Linked DNA regions of Lepisosteus oculatus. Each later gene encodes a partner of the first gene's protein in a complex. Links are inferred from orthologs where the notes say so. Each region holds a gene or a part of one and is shown in the gene's direction. Other genes may lie near its edges.

Evidence for each region.
Region 2: the proteins of cftr (region 1) and gopc are in contact, whole or in part, in an NMR structure (PDB 2LOB), measured with the Homo sapiens proteins. The link is inferred for Lepisosteus oculatus from reciprocal best matches to the Homo sapiens genes CFTR and GOPC. Residues at the interface, in NP_000483.3 of Homo sapiens: Val1475, Gln1476, Asp1477, Thr1478, Arg1479, Leu1480; in NP_065132.1 of Homo sapiens: Gly298, Leu299, Gly300, Ile301, Ser302, Ile303, Thr304, Gly305, Glu308, His309, Glu317, His319, Thr347, Lys348, His349, Lys350, Glu351, Val353, Leu356.

Annotation. Positions count from the first base shown.
Region 1 is NC_090702.1:45,443,401-45,453,923, forward strand, and holds the start of cftr (cystic fibrosis transmembrane conductance regulator), read left to right. Parts: upstream 1-5,395; 5' UTR 5,396-5,743; coding exon 5,744-5,796; intron 5,797-6,882; coding exon 6,883-6,993; intron 6,994-7,961; coding exon 7,962-8,073; intron 8,074-10,523. UniProt on the Homo sapiens protein: Epithelial ion channel that plays an important role in the regulation of epithelial ion and water transport and fluid homeostasis. Mediates the transport of chloride ions across the cell membrane.
Region 2 is NC_090697.1:32,948,072-32,958,390, reverse strand, and holds the start of gopc (Golgi-associated PDZ and coiled-coil motif-containing protein), read left to right. Parts: upstream 1-5,533; 5' UTR 5,534-5,777; coding exon 5,778-6,050; intron 6,051-10,319. Other genes in the region: nephrocan-like, read right to left, coding at 1-766, 2,538-2,732.

The DNA of each region.
Region 1 (10,523 bases):
TTGAACTTGTTACAGTGATGTAATCTGCTAGAAACCTCGATAGCCTTGAATTCTCCAGTGTCTGGTCTTTTGTGTAGCAGAACTTACTGGTGTCTGAAGAGCAACTATGGGACTGAGAGATGGGAAGAGATGGACTGAGGTCCTGACAAAAAGACGCACACACCGAGACAGTTAATATTAATAATCTGCTGATTTATAAATTCAGGACAGCAGTGCTTTTACAATGGCCATGACTGCTAAATTAGGGTTTCTGCCCACTGTCAGCTTATTTTGCTCACAAGTCCCAGTTTATACACTGTAGTTCTGTACTTCCTCTTCATATACTGTAACTTTACCTTTTTTTGTTACACAGTGAACATCTTTATTGTTCTGCATTGAAATGGTTTGCTGGTCAAATGTCATTTCAGCGTGTGCTTCAGTGAACTCATCTTAATGAAAGCTACAGTATACTGTACTTTGAAATGGGTTCTCTGTCTTTGTACAGGCTATCTCCTGTGTTTTTTATTGTTTTATCCCACAACAATTTGAATATAAACTATTATCACATGCTGTCGGTGTGTTTCATGAAGACACTGCAGTAGAAAGGTTAGTCATGGGATAATGCTACAGAATGTACTACAGTCTGCCTTATATAGTGGTTCAGGTGGGTAGCTGCATCAGCATGCGTAGTCTGCAAAGGAACAAGTAATAGGTTTATTCCATGCTGAAAAAAGAAGAGAGAAAACACAACGTTTTGGCTGTGAAGCCTTCTTCAGGTGTCCTGAAAAAATAGTTTTATGCATCGTTCAGAATAACACAGAATATAGTTTATTTTATATGCAGACAGCAAAAACCACATCATCCTTAAAATATTTTGCTCGATTACCTGCTTTGCTTTGAATTTTTGTTGGTGCTCTTGTTAAATGATGACTCCATGCTTGGTGGCTAGTCTTACCATGATTAAAATGTTCTGGGCTTTTTGGTGGCCATCTCTTCTTCCCACTATCTGACATCATTGGATCCTGACTTTTCCAGTCATCATTTGTGTAGAGTATTTTATTTCTCAGGTTTTTGGTGCCAGGATGGGAAGCACCTTGGATGTACAGTATGGGGCACTGGTGGTCCAGCCTGGTCAAGCCTGGATTTACTGTACAGTGGGTCCATTACTTTTGTGTGATTTAATTTATGGCATCTTTTTGCAGCATACTGTCAAAACATCTTTTTTTCACCTTAGAAATATCGCTAGACCATGCCCTATGCTATCAATAACTGTGGCTGAAAAGCTGATCAACACATTTGTGTTCTCTCGAATTGACTACTGTAATGCTCTACTCGCTGGGGTATCTAAATCTACTCTGAACAAACTGCAGTACTGTATGTCCAAAATTCAGCAGCCAGAATCCTGACCAGGTCTAGTGCAAGTGTACACATTTCTCCTATCCTGGAGTCCTTGCACTGGCTTCTGGTCAAATTCCGTGTGGACTTTAAAATCCTCATGCTCACCTATAAGGCTCTGCATGGCTTGGCACCTCAGTACCTGTCTGAACTATTATCGCCCTATTCCCCGCCTCACAACCTTCGCTCTTCTAATTCTGGTCTCCTAACTGTCCCCCAAGCCCGTCTACATTGTATGGGTGACAGGGCCTTCTCCTGTTATGTCCCCAAGGTCTGGACCTCTCTGCCCAAGAATATCAGAGAGTCACCTTCTCTAAACTCCTTCAAATCCAGACTCAAAACCCTCTTCTTTAGAAAAGCCTTTACTTATCTGGTTCCATTCTTTACCCCTCTGCTTTTCTTAGTACCACCATCCATGGTCTCCTGTATATATTGTAATTGTGTTTTATCTTGTGTATTCTTCTTATTTATTGTTGTTGTCATCTTGTAAAGCGCTTTGAGAAGCCACCTTTAAAGGCGCTATATACAGTAAAATAAAGTGTATTATTATTATTATTATTATTATTATTATTATTATTATTATTATTATTATTATTATTATTATCTTTTGGCTGGATATTTGGAGTGCGAGTGACCGGAGATGGGGGTGGTTGATAGGGTGGGAAAAATGTTGTTTTTCTTTTGTTTGGGGAACCTTTATATTGTATTGATTCTGTCTGTAGGAAAAAAGAATGGCAATGTACTCCAAAATAGAACAAACACTTGAGTTCTCAGGCAGGCATGTGTGTTGGATCACTTTTCAGCTCAGCTTGACAATATCTTTGTTCACAAGGTTTGAGTTTCTCTTTTTTTACGTCTGTCTGGCTAAAACACTCCGAGGTATATATATATAAAACAATACTTATTTTGCAAATATAAGCATTTGTTCTATTTTGGGGCATGTTCCTATTTTTATATACTATTTTATTTGACTTGGAGGACTTTTTTCTGGGCTTGATAGAAGGGCTTGTTCCCTTTATTTGGATGGATGCTTTTTTGGGCAAGATAGTCACTGGCACCTGTGATTGTTTTATTTCGAGTCAGTTATGTTTTCAAAAATGTATAAAAATGTATTCAGTGAGAGACTGGAAGCAATGTTATGGAATGCTCTGACAAAAAAGTAATCCTCTACTGTTCTGGAAATTTCTATTACTTACATAATGTGTTTTTATATGTTTTACTGGGATTAGGCTTGGTTTGTGAGCTTGGTACCTATTGGAACACCACCCTCTACAATTAATAAGCCATTTTACAGCAGCCTTTCAAAATTATTCTTTACATTATTGGAGGTAATAAAAAAAATGTATCTGTCTCATGCTTTGCCTTGACTTTGTTTCCAAATGTTAAGAATATTCAAATACAAATCCATTGCGGTTTTCTGTGTTTTGATAGATAGATACTGTACTTTATTGATCCCGTGAGGGAAATTGCAGTGCAACAGCAGCTTAACACAGACAACACAGTCACAGTGTAACGAATGATACAATAATAATAATACAATACAATCAGTACAGTGAGGGGTGCACTAAAAGAGTTACCCACAGTCCGGACACATAAAGAACAAACTAGAACAGAACAGTACACAGAAAAATCATATTACACATATGAATATAAATATAGATGTAAATATAGATATAGATATAAATATAAATATAAATGTATTGCACAGGTCCCTGGCATATATTGGCAAAAAACGGTTGTAGACGGGAAAGGAAAAAGAAAGAGAACAGATGTAGCAGTAGATGTGTAGATGCGTTCAGTCCAGAAACAGGTCACTGTCGATGTTGCCTCTGCCCAGACGCAAGGTGGATGCGTTGTACAGTCTTATGGCAGAAGGCAAGAATGACCTCCTGTAGCGCTCCCTGTCGCACCGTGGATGAATCAGTCAGAGTTGAAGCTCTAGGATGGGCTCATAGATCAACCCCTACCTCACCGAAGAGTTTTTGTGGCTCAGGTTAAAATGCATTCATTAGACGTCCACTCAGGTTACTTCTGAACCATCAGCAGTAGCTGTGCTTCACCGTTTTTATCTGTGTTCCACAATGGAATGTCTAAACCTTTTTAATCCTTAGAAAATATGTAGGAAACTTGAAGCTAACAGAAAGTTCCCAGTATCAGTAACAGTTACTTTGTTTTAGTTAATTAAGAATATTAAGCTGAAAAGTCTACACCCATTTCGGTGCATACAGTAGAAATGAAAAACAAACACTGCATCTGTACATTATAATAAAAACATGTTCCTATAAAATAATTGAAGATTTAAAGCAGAAAAAGATTTGATTTAACTTTAGTCAGTTTTGTAGAATGTTTCAATATACTGTACAATAGCAGTGATTTAGGTCTCTGAAGGTCTTGTTTGTAGCATTGAAATACTGAACAGCTCCTCCAAAACAGCAAAGATAGCACTAAAGTACAAACAGCTACAGTATGTAAAAGCTTTAAAGAAGGTTGTGGGGGAGGATTGCTGGGCATGAGATGCAGCTGGTTCCCAAGTTTTGAATGCTGAAATGTGGTAGCAGTTGTTTTTTTGTAAATGTGCAAAAAAGATCATTAATACTGTATGCTTGAGTTGTGCTTGTAGGTGCTGAGAAAAAGAAAAAGCCTCTTTGGTTTGGAAAAGTGTTATTCCATAGGTTTTGTTTGGTCTCATGTTCTTATGTTGTAAGCAGTGTTTCACCGACCCCTACGTTTAGCACTGCATGCGGTCTAGATTGGAATATTTGTTTCTTTAGTGTTTCTTTTTGATCACCTCTCCAGAGTTCTCTGAAATTTTCATCTAATTTTGGAAAAAAGACTTACAAACAAATATTTTAGTTTTCCCTTGTGTGATGAGAACCATGTTAGCTTTCTTACTATTTTCCCTGTTGAAGACACCTTAGATGTTGTAACACAGTAAGGTTATTTAGGTATTGAATTCACATATAATTGAAATACAAAAATTATTTCTTATTTAAGATTAAATAAGTTTACATAACTTTTTATTTTTAATAATGTTTGTTTCTGTATTGATTGCCTTACACTCTGTATGTTATGGGGGTCAGGTTAATATTTATTGCTCCTCTTTAAAGCTTTGAAAAGATAAGAATGATGCAGTATATACCTGTATACAAAGTAAAAAAACATGAGTTATAGAGTAACTTTGTTTCAAATAAAAGTTTGCCGACACATTATTACATGACTGTTTACAAAATTTTATTTCATTTTTCAGTGTTGTGTGGTACAATCAAGACTTACAGATGAATGCTTTGCTTTGCAAATGTTTATGGATGTAAACACTGACTAAACATAAATATCTTAAATCAGAAACAGGAAAGCATGATGCATTGCCACCCTTTGATGTTTACAGTTGAAACAGAAATGTCAGAACAGACATGTGAGAAGTTAATCTTATATTCTTAGGCGTTTAGGACAGAATTAACAAATATAGATGCTAATACACTGCTTAAATTGCATGAAGCTGTGTGACACAAAGAGCCAAGATGCAGTTCAGGAGGAATTGCTAATAAGGGATATTTAAAAAAGAAATGCTTGGAGTAAATGACAAAATTGTCTGCTGCATTTTTTTTTCTGAAGATGGATATGCAGATTCTACCTTTATTCTTACCCGTTTTAGGAATAGGTTTGGTTGTTACCATAATTGTGAATTCTCCTGTGACTACTGTACAAATTGCATTTAAATTATTTTTTAAAATAATTGTCTTGAAAGTCTTCAATAAGATACAGCAGCAAAAAGAACTTTCTTGATATTTGTCGTCAGTTATAAAATAATAGAAATCACAATTTTGTATTATGTACCATACTGCAATTTAACACTTAATGCTCTGTGAAAATGGTGTTCATTCCCCAGTTCATTTCTTCTTGTCCGTAAGAAAACGCTTTAATGATATTGAGACTTAAACATCTTGTCAAACGCCTTGGCCGAAATAAGAATTCCCCTGCTGTTTTTTTGCGCAATGTTGCCTAAATGGAAATCAAAACTTCAGAATGAAATCTGGCAGAGGTGGGTCGCACACTGCTATTCAAAATCAGTCCCTTTAATGTACTGAGTGTTCTAGGTTAACAGACTGAGGAGAAAATATTCAGTGAACGCAGAACACACAAGGAATTTATCGTGGGCTCTGAGCGTGGAGTTCGACAGCGCAACTCTTCAAACCTTCTGGTTTGTCCTTCGCACACGCTATAACCAGGGCAGAGCCAATTAAACCAGTGACATCACCGCACACATATCTTGACATGGAGAACAAAACCGGGGACTTGATTCAATTTTGGAGACTTTACAGATGACCAGTTTAACCAGCACATCTCTCAGGTGCACGGAAGCTGTTTTAGAATGCAGAAATCACCTGCAGAAGATGCTAACGCCTTCTCGAGATTTTTTTTCTGGTAAGTGTTTTTTTTTACTCTAGTTTCAGTCAAGGATAAAAATGAAACCACGATTCTTTTCTTCTGTCATGGAAATTGAAAGAAAGTTTTGCTAAAGTTTTGCAGTGCAGATGTGAATCTGCATTTAGCTTATTCGTTTTGGTAGTCCTAATATTTTTTTAGAAATACTGTATGTACTTTCCCCTGCACGTGGTTCATTAACCTGCTGTTTGATAATTATATAGCATGACTTTTCTTACTTTCATTTTTATATTGAAGTTTGAAAATATAATACGACTAACAGATTAATTTATTTACCTTGTCCGAAGTTATTTCAGAACTTTATGAAGTGCACCTGCAGCGACGTGCCTGAGGATCAGATTTCATTAAAGCTTTCCCGAGTTATAGGAAATTAAGAAGTCAGCTATTGTTTAATGAATTCGCATTTTTTAATTCGATTTTCTTATATGATGTGGTTATGAGTTAACTATTGTTAAACATTGCCAGTGTTTTTTTTAAATACTTTGGAGCGGGAGATCTTCTTGGTGTCAAAATGTGAGAATACAATTATCACAAATGAAAGTATTGAAAGCTGTGAAGTAATTCATCATTAGTTTTCTTCACGTAAAACGTAGTTTTAGAAAACATGTACTCTAGTAAATAGCGAAAACCGTAACTACTGCTGAGTAGATACAAGTAAATACACCAGTGTGTTTTGTACAACTTTTTCAACTACTGTATGTGTTAAAAGCTTGCATAATTGTTTGTGTTGTATATTCTTTCCATAATATATTAAATTTAATCACAGACAACATTTGTTCTAGGAGAAGCAGTGACTGAACCATTGTGACATTGTTTGTATACTTACTGTAGATGACAGTTGTTTCTCAATAAAGGCAATTAGGTTATAATAATTACAAACAAAGATCCCCTTCACACTCTATTTACTTAAGTTTACAATAGATACTATTGACATGTATGATATCTGTCATAAATCTGTGAATGTAGATCTATGTTCAGTAGGTAGTAGTGGCATTTATAAATCAGTGATACATCTGTGAATGTACTGTAGGTCTGATTTATGATGATTTGTTTTTTTTTTTACAGGTGGGCTTCACCAATTTTGAGAAAGGGATACAGGCAGAAATTAGAATTATCAGATGTTTATCAGGTGCCTTCATTTGACTCGGCTGACCATCTTTCTGAAAGACTAGAAAGGTTTGCATTTATCGCAATCTTTCACTGAAGCTTTCACGCGCAACGTCCAGAAAATTGTATTTTTACCTTTAATTGCAATAATACCTTAATCTGACTATTTTAGTCTTTGAGTACAAATATTTATTGATATATCCATTATATATAACATTTCTGTTCTGTATGTACATTAAAGAAAAACACTATAAATAACTCTTTCTTGTTACCCTTTTGTGATATGCACTGTAACCATCATCTTATGTTTTGAATAGCAGGTCCTTTAGTTGACCTGCTATTCAAGTGTATTTCCTACTGTATTTCCAGAGAAACCCTGTACAGTACTTGTTTTAGCAACTGAAACTTTCAGCTGTAGGTCTTACTTGAAATGTGGGTAGGCATTTGAGACACCAGACACTGTGAAATATTCCCAAAAAACACACGCCTTACCCATCGTATCTCTAGCAGTCTATGCGGCTATATTGCCGATTATAATTAAAAAGTCTTGCAAATGTCACCAATTAGGATATTTGCCATTGAAAGCGCAGGCCACCCCCAAATGTCACCTCTGTCATTCTTTAAAGACACAAACATGCGACTTAAAAGATGTTTGCCCTTGTTTTTACCCTGTTTGGGACTGGAGCTCCTCCAGGCCCTTATTTTTACCATTATTTGTGTATTTCTCTTTAGATCTCAGCAGTTCTCTTACATAAGCATGAAACGTGACCTTTTAAACTGCCAGCCCCCTGTTGGGTGATATATAGTTAGCCATTTTTAATCAGCCAAAAATGTGGTCTACTGGGAATTTGAACTTTTATTCAATTAACAAGTTGGTACCCTTTCGATCTTCAAGGTCTCTGTGTACTTTACTGTTTAATAAGTTAGCCAGATCTCCCTGGTTATACGTGAGTCAACCTAACTATGTGAAAAAAGCTGTGTAGTCTGTTTCCACACAGTGACAGTTTTCTAATTGCCTTGTTTTCGGTCTTTGGTAGAGAATGGGACAGAGAACTTGCATCATCGAAGAAAAATCCCAATCTTCTCAATGCCATTCGCCGCTGTTTCTTCTGGCCCTTTGCCTTTTATGGAGTCCTGTTGTACTTTGGGGTAAGTTTCTGACTCTTAAGTTGTATCTAAAACAGGATGAAAAGAGATTTAATAAGAACAATATACAGTATGGGTTTCATTATTTAAGATGCTCTCATTTGTATTTGATATTAACATTTAATTATACTTATTTCGCAGTCCCATTCAAAATTAGGATGTTCTGCATTAGATGACCAATTAAGTAGGCATACTCCTTAATTCAGTAGCTATTATCTGTGTGGACCTATGACGTTATTTTATTATCAACTGGTGTTTGATGTGTTCCGTAGTGGAACACTTCAGAAACGCAACATTTGTAGTCTTAATACTAATAATTCTTAAGTTTTGTGAATGTTAATCGAGAAATCCAAGCATATTTTCATATACCTGCAATAACAATCCATTTTAATATGAAAAAAAACAAACAAAACTGTGGCAATAGGGCTGCAATAAGAACTGTGAGGATGTGTTTTTGTACAGTATGTGCAAAGGTGATGTCTGCTTGCATCTGTCTGCATGAATGGCACACAGATTCTCAAGCTTTTAATAAAAAAACATCAAAGTCAAGTCTGAGAAAAAGTGGCATCAAGTTTGGGAATTTTGTTTGCATAGATATCACAAAACACACTCAATAGTTGCATTCAAGGTCCATTCATCTATCATCAGATTTAAAGGAGACACTGGGGATTGTTTCCACACAGGAACAGTTATGGTTGCAGACTCAACTGGTAATTATTAAACAACAATAACCTGATAATAAACACCATTCTCCCCAAGAATGGGAACCACCTGACAAGAATATCAAGCTGCTCAGTTGCTTCTTCAATTGTTTCTTTGAAACAACGAAGGCTAAGATATTTTTCTCTACCTAGTTCACGTCCTGTGTCACATACAGTACATTAGCAGACTGTATATACAGTACTGACCATTAATAGGAATGTCATATGCATTGTTTGCTCTGATGAATATCCTGTAGTTTGATGCAGTGACTATACAGTGTGTGTAGTGGTCTCATCTGGCAATGATTCAGCATTTGCATACCGGATAAAAATCAAAAGACTAAGTGAGGTCTGTGTTGGGGAACAAAAACATTTTGGTGGCAATAGCCATATCGGTGTGGAAGACCATTACTGCTGACTTTAGGATTCAGCTTGCTGCCAATGGTCATCGCACATCACGGTCTTATACTGAGCATTGTTCAAAATCTGTGCCCCATTAACCAACTCGGCAACACTAAAGTCATTACAATCCCCGAATCTTTTCATTTTGGAATCCGTGTGCCCACATGGCAATGGTTATCAAAGACATTCTGTGTCCTTCTAGAATTAGTATCATGCATTGGCCGACTTTTTATAACAAGACGTTATAACTTAGACGTCCTGAGCACCTGTGTGTTGGGCTGGGTTGACAGATCTCTAATATTTGCTGTAGAGATTGAGTGGAGGAACATTCCTGTGGTCTCATGGAACATCTCTGCCAAACCATTTCCATGCTTGTGGTGAAGATTCCCACTTCTGTAGGAGCACATGACTTGAAAGCATCATGAGTTCTGCACAACAAGTATCTTTTGAACTTTTGTAACTGAATAACTCTTACTTGACGGAGTCTAATTTTATGAACAGGTTTGATAGATAGATACTTTATTGATCCCGTGAGGGAAATTGCAGTGCAACAGCAGCTTAACACACACAACACAGCCACAGTGTAACAAATTATATAATAATAGTACAATACATACAATACAATACAATACAAGAGTTACTCACAGTCCGGACACACAAGAACAAACTAGAACAGAACAGTACACAGAAAATCGTATCACACATATGAATATAAATATAGATGTAACTATAGATATAAATATAAATGTATTGCACAGGTCCCTGGCATATATTGCACAAAAAATGGTTGTAAACGGGAAAAATAAAAATAAAAAGAAAGAGAACAGATGTAGCAGTAGATGTGTAGATGCGTTTAGTCCAGAAACAGGTCACTGTCGATGTTGCCTCTGCCAAGATGCAAGGTGGATGCGTTGTACAGTCTTATGGCAGAAGGCAAGAATGACCTCCTGTAGCGCTCCCTGTCGCACCGTGGATGAATCAGTCTATTGCTGAGCGTGCTCTTCATTCCTGCAAGCCTGTCATAGAGGGGATGGGAGGAGTTGTCCATGATGGCCTCTAGTTTGGACATCATTCTCCTCTCAGCCACTACCTCCAAGGGGTCCAGGTCAGACCCAATGACAGAGCTTGCTCTCCTGATGAGCTTGTTCAGCCTTTTGGAATCCACTGCTCTAATCCCAGAGCCCCAGCACACCACTGCGTAGAAAATGGCACTCACTACCACCTACTGATAGAACACGTGTAGCATCTTACTACACACATTGAAGGACCTGAGCCTTCTCAAGAAGTAAAGTCGGCTCTGTCCCTTCTTATAGATGGCCTCGATGTTCTTAGACCATTCCAGTCTATCAT
Region 2 (10,319 bases), on another chromosome or scaffold:
AAAGCTCTTGCTGGGTAACTTCCCGAATCAAGTTTTGGCGGCAGTCCAGCTTTTCTAGTTTAGCTGTCAACCTGCTTGGCAGCAGCCTCATATGATTGCCAGAGAGCTCAATCATGGTAAGGTTTGGCAGACGGAGGCTGCCGTCAATGGAAACTAGCTTGTTATGTGCCACTGACAAAACTGAAAGATGTTTCAAGTGGCCCATTTCCCGACTCCTCAGTGCCCGTATTTGATTCAAATCTAAATTCAGGGACCCGAGTGTCTGAGGGAGATCCTGTGGAACTTTCACAAGGTGATTTCCAGAAAGACTTAACATTTTAAGGGATTGTAAAGATGCAAAAAAGTTTGCCGGTAAAGAGGGAATCTTGTTATTCGCAATGCTTAACTGACGGAGCTGAGGTAGTTTAGGGGAACCCATTAAAGATTCAATTTGATTGCCATCTAGATAGAGACTTTCGAGTTTTAACAGAGAGGTAAATGTGTTCCCTCGAAGGCTGGATATCAGGTTGTTTTGAAGGTCAAGAACGCGCAGGTTTCTCAAACCATCAACAGCTGACTCCTGCAGGTGCTGTATCCTGTTATTTCCCAGTTTGAGGATTTCCAGGCTATGGGGGAGTCCACGAGGCATGTGCTTTAACTTGTTCTTCAGGAGCTCCAGTGTTTTTAGGTGGCTTTGAGACTTGAAAGTGTTCACTTCTATCGATTCTATTCCACAAGATGACAGAACAATTTCTTCAAGTTGTGTCAGTCCAGTAAAATCACATCTCTGAAAAAGTATATAAAAACATTGTATATCTCAGTGATTTCGGCTTAATACCTACATGAAGTCAGTTGCCTAAGACAAAAATTCAGAACAGCTCTATGAATAAATGAATATACTGACATAAAATATTGGATTTAAATCTTGATGAAGGCACACGTACCAAAGATACCAAACATCTGACATTTGATATGAATGGTCATGACTTGTGATAGACACATCTCCAAGCCTAGAAATGGCAGACTACTTAAGTTCAGGGCTTTATAATACAAAATGTCTCCTTTTAGGACACTTCAAAATGGTTTATTAAGAGTTTGTGGTGTGTATTTCAAACCACTGATCATGCTAGACAATTTTTTTTCTTGTTGATTGTTTTCAGTTGCAGGTGTGTCAGTGGAAAATATATCATTCATTACACACATACCTTAATTAACGGGGAATTTTAATTTACATTTCTTTACTGAGTGGTGGTGAATTGTAGTGCCATCATTCTAAAGTAGTAAGATCCTCACTCCTTGTATAGTTTTAGTATAGGACACTTAAGTTCATGAGCAATTAAAATTGATTTTGTGGTTTTATGGACAATTAGGGATTGGACTTTTATATTAATTTTCAGATCATTGAAACCACTGAATAATTGTCTTCAAAGTATCATTCTTTCATAAAACTTAATTGAGAAAAAAATTGATATTTTTATATTGCATTTTAAAAGATAAAAGAAAGAAAATGCCATTATTCTGATACAGTATGTAATAAATGATTCAAAGCATGCCTCATGACTTCCTATCTTTTTGGACATAATGATGAACTGCTACTGTGAGCTACATGCATGATTAATGGATATTAATTTAAGAAAATAACTAATTGAACATACAGCCTACAGAATAACTACAGGACATAAATTGATTTGAGTTTATTATTGTTCAGATGTCACAAACCTTTAATTTATCAGTTAATAGAAAGCCTTCACAAATATGTTTTAGATTGAAATTAATTATACAGATTCACATAAAATATAGAAATAATTTAAAATCTGGAGGATGATGATGGTTTAACGATAATTCATCAGGAATATGTGTTTTTCCTAAAATATCAATATCATAATTTAATATTCACAAATATGTAGATTATGTGTGTGAAAATAATCATACATATTTAATCTATAGCTGCTGTATATCCTAGTACCTTAATCACACACACAAACTTCTTTTTATGTGGTAGGTTGTATTTAAACTTTGATTTTAGAAACGTTTCTAAATCTACATAAATATCATGAAAATTTTACCATCCAAAGAGATTCTGTTTTCTCAAGGATACACAGACAAGAAAACAGACAGGAACAGAATATATTCAAGTAGGTAGCTGCGTCAGCATGCGTAGGCTGCAAAGGAACAGGTAACGAGTTTATATTTCTTTTCAGCATGGAATAAACTCGTTATCTGTTCCTTTGCAGGAACAGAATATGATTCACAGATATGTTTAACTTTTAAATGGACTCCATATTTAACTATTTATACATACATCCTTTATAACCCACTTTTGTACATAGAATATAAATGCTTATATAATCTACACAAAAGCAGCGAACAGTTCGAAATACTGTATTTGTTTAAATTCCAAGGCACAAACCACTTAAACCTTTTTCTCTGTTGCTAAGAGAAGTCTTAAGTCTTCTCAGAAACCTCCTATAAATACTGGTACAAGTGTAAACTCCCCATAGTGCAAATCTCTGAAGGAAGTTTATATCTCTGGTCGGCTTGTTTAGCTTTGCTCTTACCTTTAAATCCTTAATGTGGTTGTATCCTAGATTCAGTTTCCTTGTATCTTTTGCAGTCCCAGACGGTACAGCATGTACCCTGTAGCACTGTATCGACTTTTCGTTTTCACAAATGCAATTCTTTGGACATCCATTGTCATTTAGGCAGTAGCAGAGATGCAACAAGATGCAGATGGAAATTAAAATAAACTGCATGCTGAAAATACAACTAGGGAAGTCACTTTGGTCCAGAGACAGCACTCTCTGTAACCTTCGATCTCTTGTGTGACTTATATAGCAGGACATCCTAAAACCTAATGCTGGTAAGAGAGTGTTTTCTCAAGCCTATTTGGAACAATACTACAGATTTTTATCTTGGTTAAAAAACACCACTTGACACTAACAAGGAACTGACCTAAACAGTAATAGATTGGACCTCTGTTTGTAGACGTGAGAAACTTGCTGATAAACAATTTATTGCCCTTGCTGGTGAGTGCGTGCAATTTCCTTTGCTTTATCCAATTCCTTCCTGGGTGCTTTTTTCAATTTAAATAATAAAGCACTCCATTGAAAGTGTCAGTGGATTTTTCACTTTTAAAATTTTATAAGATCTGCTAAATCCTCCTTGGCTCCTTAAGGAAAAAAATGCCAGAGATTAATTAGCTGTCAGTCTTTTAATTGTGTCTGTGTTGTCATTTGATAACACTTGTTGCCACAGGTGTCCTTGGCTCCCAGTGTGCCTGTTACTCAGGCTTTATCACAAAGAGGGTCACCCAGAGGAAATACTTTTGAAAGAACAACCCATGTGAACTGAGGTTGCTGAATAGGGGTCACAGAACCCGGAGGATTGCTTCATTTGTGGAGCAATAACACCACAGAGATATGTGACCCTCCCAAATAATATGCGATCAAGCCAAGAGATTAAAAGATTCCATCCTTTAAAAGCAAGAGACACTAAAACACAGATCCTACTCTTAGCTTCTGTATCTGCAGGAGTGTGGGATATTTATAATTCATCTGAGAGGGTGTCCTGCTGTGTTGAGATATAAAACATTTTGCTCCCTGTGATAGCTTGGAGATAATGAATATAAAAATATCTTATGTGAGAACAAATAGTTCAATTGTTTTCGTGAGTGCTATAATGGTGAAGTTCAGTATGTTTTCTCATTTATAATGTTTAAGGTAAAAATATGCCTTTTTCACAAGAACAGAAACAGCTTGAACATTGTGCCTGGCAACTTTCAGCAATACTTAGAACAAAACGTTGTATTTGTATTTATTTTAGTCTCCATTGTAATAATCATTTCTACTTCTCTCTTGGCCTTGCAGTTCATCATATTAGTGTCCTTAAACTGGATCCTGTTCATTTTTTAAACTGTTAACAAAAGTATTTTTCCCCAAAAATATTTTTCTTAATTTGATTACTAACGCAATTTGGGGTGTAACTTTGATTCACTTACTTCTGGCATTAACCTGTTCAGTTTTTTTAGATGGATATTTTTTAATAGTTGTCATCCATTCTCCAATCTTTCATTATTTACCCTGTTGCACTCTGGATCTCTCAAATTCCCTTTCATTTCTTTAAAGTCAGTTTTCCTGAAAGTATATATATATTTAAAACTCTTTTGGACTGTACCTACTGTACACAGTTTTAAAAATGTGAATAGCACAACACGTTTTCTCCGTGAATCTGTACCCTATGTTTTATTTATTCTTTGTCAATGTTTTTTTGTCTTCTACTTTAAAATGTTTTTGTGTATGTGGAATATGTGAGTGCAATACAATTTAACCAGCATTTTTTTTACTCCTGGGGTGCTTTATAAATATTTTACGTGGCCAGAGGGTTAGATGCATGCAGTGGTTTTAAAATTTCACAAAATAACAAACCTATTCAGCACGACACCTTTTTTATGCTGAAGAAATACTTGGTAAACGATGTGAGGGGTGGGATTCGTATTTCAGGATCACTCGGTTTATAGGGTGACACTTTTATTTAAAACAATGGATTAATCTTTATCTTAGTGAGATTAGTTCTCATTATACATTACACATGGCACACGGCGTGGCGGTCAGGCTCACGACTTGCGTGTCCTGAGTTTGATTCCGGGCTGCGGTGCCTTTCTGTATGCCTCTTTCCAGGTGCTCCAGTTTCCTCACGCCTTCAGGAACAAGCTTACTAGGTCTCCTGGTGTCAGGAAATTGTCCCCGTGTGTGTGCTCTGACGGATGGACACTTCGTAGAGGATGTAGCGCTGCCATGCACTCTACGTCCGGGATAGTCTCCGGGTTGCCCTGATCTTTTTAAAGGATTTCTGTAAGCGGCTTTTTGATAATTTAGTATTGCACTGCATATTTTCCCGTCGGTATGCAGGTCTTAATGAGCTTGCTTGAGTTACCGGTTCTTCAAACAGCCAGCAGATGGCCATAAAATGTGCTTATAATTGCTTACCTACTAAAAGCTATTGAATAGTAGTCAGTTGATATAAAAAATAATCAAATTAATTCAATTAATAAAAAATAATAAATGAATCAAATATAAAAAATAAAAAATCACCGATATGTCAAGGCATTCTCGCATAACTTTTAATCACACTTTTGCAGATATACGTTTTGACCACTTCTGTAAGATCGGGAGTGAGATTATTTAATTAGTATCATTTTCTTTTTCGTTTTTAAGAAGAATATTAGCCATCGGAGAAATAATTATTTTATTGTGTAATGGTTTTGTTTATATGGCATGAAGTAAACATTTTGGGTATAATTCCATGATAAAACAGCTGATCACACGTGAAGAAATGAGTTTAGACAGATTCCCAAAACGTGATTTTCAGAATGCTTTTTTCAAACACAGCACAGCTCCAGGTAAAATTAAATGGAGGCAATATGTTTTGAGGCTGGGTAAATCACGGTTGTTAGATCTGTAAGTAGAACTCCCTCAGGTCTGCGTATCCTGTTTTGACGCTCTAAATCGATTATCTCTTTACTCTCTTGCTTTTTCTTGACGCAGGTCCAGCTGTGTGGCAGGCAATGATAGTCAATCACAGACTCGCAACCAATCCGCACTTCGGATTTCCTGGTCCGCAGAAGCCGGACGGTACGGTAGAAAACAGGGTTGGCTAAGACGACAGAGCGTGGTGTAGGATAGTAATATTTTATTTGTAATAAATAGATACAAAAATAAACTAGAAAAGTGATTAATTTATTATCGAAAAGGTGCTGCCTAGAATTGACAAGTAGTAATTCGTCGCTTGCAGTATCTGTGATGTCTGCGACGGCCGGCGGTGTCTCACCAGCCCCTCAGGGCTCGGCTCTCAGTGGTCCCGGTTCGGGAATGTCAATGTTCCGATGGTTGGAGGTCCTGGAGAAGGAATTTGACAAGGCTTTTGTGGATGTGGATCTGCTCCTCGGAGAGATCGACCCCGATCAGGCTGACATCACCTATGAGGGCCGTCAGAAAATGACCACTCTGAGTTCCTGCTTCGCTCAGCTGTGCCACAAGGCTCAGACCATCTTCCAGTTAAACCACAAACTGGAGGTAAGCACTCGGACACAGAGCATGTTAAAAGTGCCCGACGCCAGACGCCAGACGAGACCTGTACGGCGATTTATTGATTAGGGAACATGGCGTAGCTTTGCAAGTTAAGTCACATTCGCAGTGCCGTGAAACCCAAGAAGTATGCTTTATTTTAAAGTTCGTTTCTGTACTTGTATGTCAGTTGTGTTTGCCTAAAAACATTGCTCTGAAAACACAGTCAGAAGATAAGATAATTTAAACCATTAGCTAAAGATTTAGCACAAATTTGTCTTACTGAACATGGAATTTATACCTAGCTGTTCAGAGGAATTAACTTATGTTCATTGTGTGTTTTGGTATCTTTAGCGTTTCTTTGAGGTGTCACCAGAAGCTTTAGTTACTGATGTTAGAATTATGCAAGATGTATATCAGATATATTTTAACCTCAAATACTTTTATTTTAAACCAAACTAGTCTTTGCTTTCTCTTTATCTCAAGTACTTACTGTTGGCTAAGACAATAAGAATAGAGTTAATAACATTTTTACCTGGCGTTTGGCAAAACCTCATAACATTTTTTAGTATGTTTGTTTTTGTTTTCTGATTTGTATAACACATTGGCTTTTTACTTTATAAGGTCACGTGAAGGACCACATTTGAAATTGTGAAATAGACATACAATATCCACTTCCTTGATGTGTTTTGTTGGATTTTGATTTTAGGGGTTACCTCAGTCCTGTGGAGTAAAACTCAGTAAACATGAGTTGTAATTGTACTGTGCTGTACTTCAGTTATATGGTAAGGTTTACAGGCTGGTGGTTTCTGAGAAGAAATCATCCAGTTCTGCTAGTGTGCAACAGAAGGCACAAGACAACTCTTTTGTAGATGACAAAGAAGCTTTAGAGCAAACAAGTAGAAATCAATTTCTTTATAAATCTTATTTAAGGTATCATCATTGTAATTCTTAAAACTCACAAAATATTGAGTTAAAGATTTTAAATAATTTGTGCCCTATCAAGCATTTTCTTGTGTCTGGAAAAAAGTAACATTTATGTTAAATGTAAAATGCAGGATCTTCTTCACACTTGTTAATTCCCTTTTGTAGTGAGTGGCAATTCAATTTTCTGTCATGTAACACTTGTCTTTTAACTGTACTGTGTGCTGTGCTAGTGGTTTTCTAATCCATCACCAAATGGTCTTATAAAAGCAAGCTCTTCTACCATTGGTTTAACTGGTGTGTCTCATTTTATACTTAAAAGAATGGATAGTACCCAGGCTAGAATGTGAATGGTTTGTAAGGCCTGATCTTTGAGTAAACTGGCTACATTATATACATTACAGAAGTCAGTCAACGTTTTGTGGTGTGTACTGTATGAAGGAATATATATATGCACAGTTAGAATGAAACTAAAGTTCAAGAAGGTATAATTTGTAAGGTACATAATGTAAAAATGTTTTATTATTTGTGCCTTTAGAGATGCATAAATGTGATACTGAATTGTTTTGGGGGGTTTAATAAGCCATCAATAATATGCTGTAGTAGGAGAGGCAATAACTTCACTGTTGACAGTAAGGTTGTTTTGTACGGAAAAGTTAAAGAGAAGAAATAGTCAGTACCCATGTTTGGCATACTTCATCAACTGAATTTCCTAAAAATAAAACCTTAAAATGGAGTTATATGAAGTTACAATTTCAGTTGAGAATATATTTTAATGAACTGTAGAGCGACTGGGGATTTCACCTTCTTAAAAATCTTTTAAGTAGAAATAATGAAGATCATCACATACTGTACAGTGCCTTGCAAAGTGGTTCCTCCCTACTAAGAGATGGAAACAGTGCTAAGGGTGGTTCCACCAAATACGTCTACGCTAGGTTTTGATTCTTCTTTGCAGGTTTTCTGTCATTTAACATTTTGGACCGATAAAAGTATCTAGTTTAAGCACTCAAGTTTTGATTGAAAATACTCACTTTAAAAAATGTGTATGCATCATTTGTAATTCAACAAAATGAGACATAACTGTAAGGGAGAATATGCTTTTGCAGGGCACTTCGTCTTTATCAGAAGCAGTATTTTTTCATATCAGATTTTTCTGTAAATGACTGCCGCAGCCCAGGAAGAAAATAAGCTCTGGTTAAAGACATGTCACGCTACTGGGCAGTGTATAATAATAATAATAATAATAATAATAATAATAATAATAATAATGTTTCTTTATTAGCCCTGTACAATATATTGCATTAGGACTTAATCTTTTCGCATACCCCAGCTTTTCTCCATGAGACACAGGACACAGACAGGAAGAGAAGCTTGGGGTCAGAGCACAGAGTCTGCCATTGTACGGCGCCCCTGGAGCAGTTGGGGTTAAGGGCCTTGCTCAGGGGCCCAACAGAGTAGGATTCCTCTGCCGGCTGCGGGATTTGAACTGGCAACCTTCCAGTCACAAGCACAGATACTACTAAGCAAAACATTTTAGTTGATCCCTAGAGAAACAAAAAAAATTCACAAGCAGACAGAAATGCTTACTGCCACTTAGTATGTCCAGAGCCTTTCCAGGAGCACTGTTCCTCTGCATGATATTTTAGACACCTAGATATTGATAGCAGCACCTGGAGGTTATGGAGTTCAAAGCTACATTATACAGTCCCGGCATTCCTCAAACTCACTGAACATAGTAGTTTTCTGAAAGGTCAAAAATGAGGCCATCTATGCAGACAGATCAGTGAGGGTGCTAACTATTGGTTTCTAATAACAGCACCTTAGTCTCCAAAGACAGCCAGAATGTAAGCAGCTAAGTATACCGTGACCAAGAATAATTTGAAGTCAACCACATCTCTGAAACTGCATTATTTACCTGTTGATGGTGACTCAGTACACTCTGTCTGTACCCAGACTGGTCTTGTGGCCAAGTAGGTTCTGCTAGCTGTACTACAGTCCGTAGCCACAAGAAAGGCAGGTTAAAAAAAGCAACATGTACTCAAAGGTGTTACTGCATCGTTACCTTCATATCTTCTTAAGGTGATGTAATCTTAGCCAAGCCCATTACTTCATCTGAGTAAAAATATATTTTTTATAGAATTTAAAGTCTGAATTGAATTTTACCATGAAAGAAATTAAGGAATAAAATATTGTAGTTCAGGTTGTAGATTATGCCGGTTCAGGGACGCCAAATATGTAATCATAGTGGCTCTCTGAAGGCACCAGTTCTGTAGGGTTTGGGCATTTACTGAGACAATTTTTAATTGTAGCAGTAAATCACAAAGTTGATTCTTTTGGTGGCTTTAGAATCCAACCATGCGACATAACTCAAACAACGCGCACACACAGGTACTAATACACGAGGATACATTTATTAATACATAGAATATGCATATAAACCTAACAGATCTTATCGAGAGGGTTATCAGAATACAAAAGATATATATTCAATCAGTTACAAAGAGTTACACATAAAGAGGACATACGTTCAGTATATCATTCATTAAGACCGTTTCGTAAAGTGAACTTGGTTACAACTTCTACATTAGATACTCAAACAAGTACATAACTCTTAGGAATTAAATTGATATCAACTGGTTTGGATAACAATTGAATTCTCGAGCTATAATGCATTGAAGTTGAATACTCATCCAATCTTTGGGGATTCAGATCTCCTGCGGGCACAAAGAAACAGTTGCAGGCCGTTGCTGTCCAATCCGCGCTCTCTGGCTCGGTGCCAGGCTGTGCTGTGCGGCTTGCGACGGTGCGCTGCTGATGCTCATTGTTGGCTTTAACTAGCAAAGTTTGTGCACAGGAGAAAAGATGACTGTGGGTCCCAGCAAGTCAGGAAGAGGACCGGTTCGTTCCTGATGAAGAGCTAGTTCTGAATAGTGATTCAGCTGTCCACAGTTCCGACCTGTTCACGAGGCCTGCTGCTGGTTACTCTCTGGCAACCTCCACTCTAGACTCTTAGAACAAAGGAAAGTTCTGGCACTCGGACACACTGGCCGTTCCGTGGTTGTCCGGGCTGAGTCTCAGGATGGTCAGGAGGCGCGCTGCGAGAATGTCCTGCCCTTGGGAGCCTTCTGCTCCTGGGCCGTCCTGCCCTGGAATTCTCCTTTGAATTCCCTTTAGAACAGTCCACAGAATCCTCTCCAGAATCCCTTCTGAATCTGAATCTTGTTGAATCTCCCAGGCTCTCTGTGTTGCCTGTTTTTTACCTGGAGGAACTTCAGCTCATTGATTGGCTGAAAGTTCCATGGGCATCAGAGTCCCACGTGGGTTACTCGGCCCTACCAGTCCCTGATTGGTTGA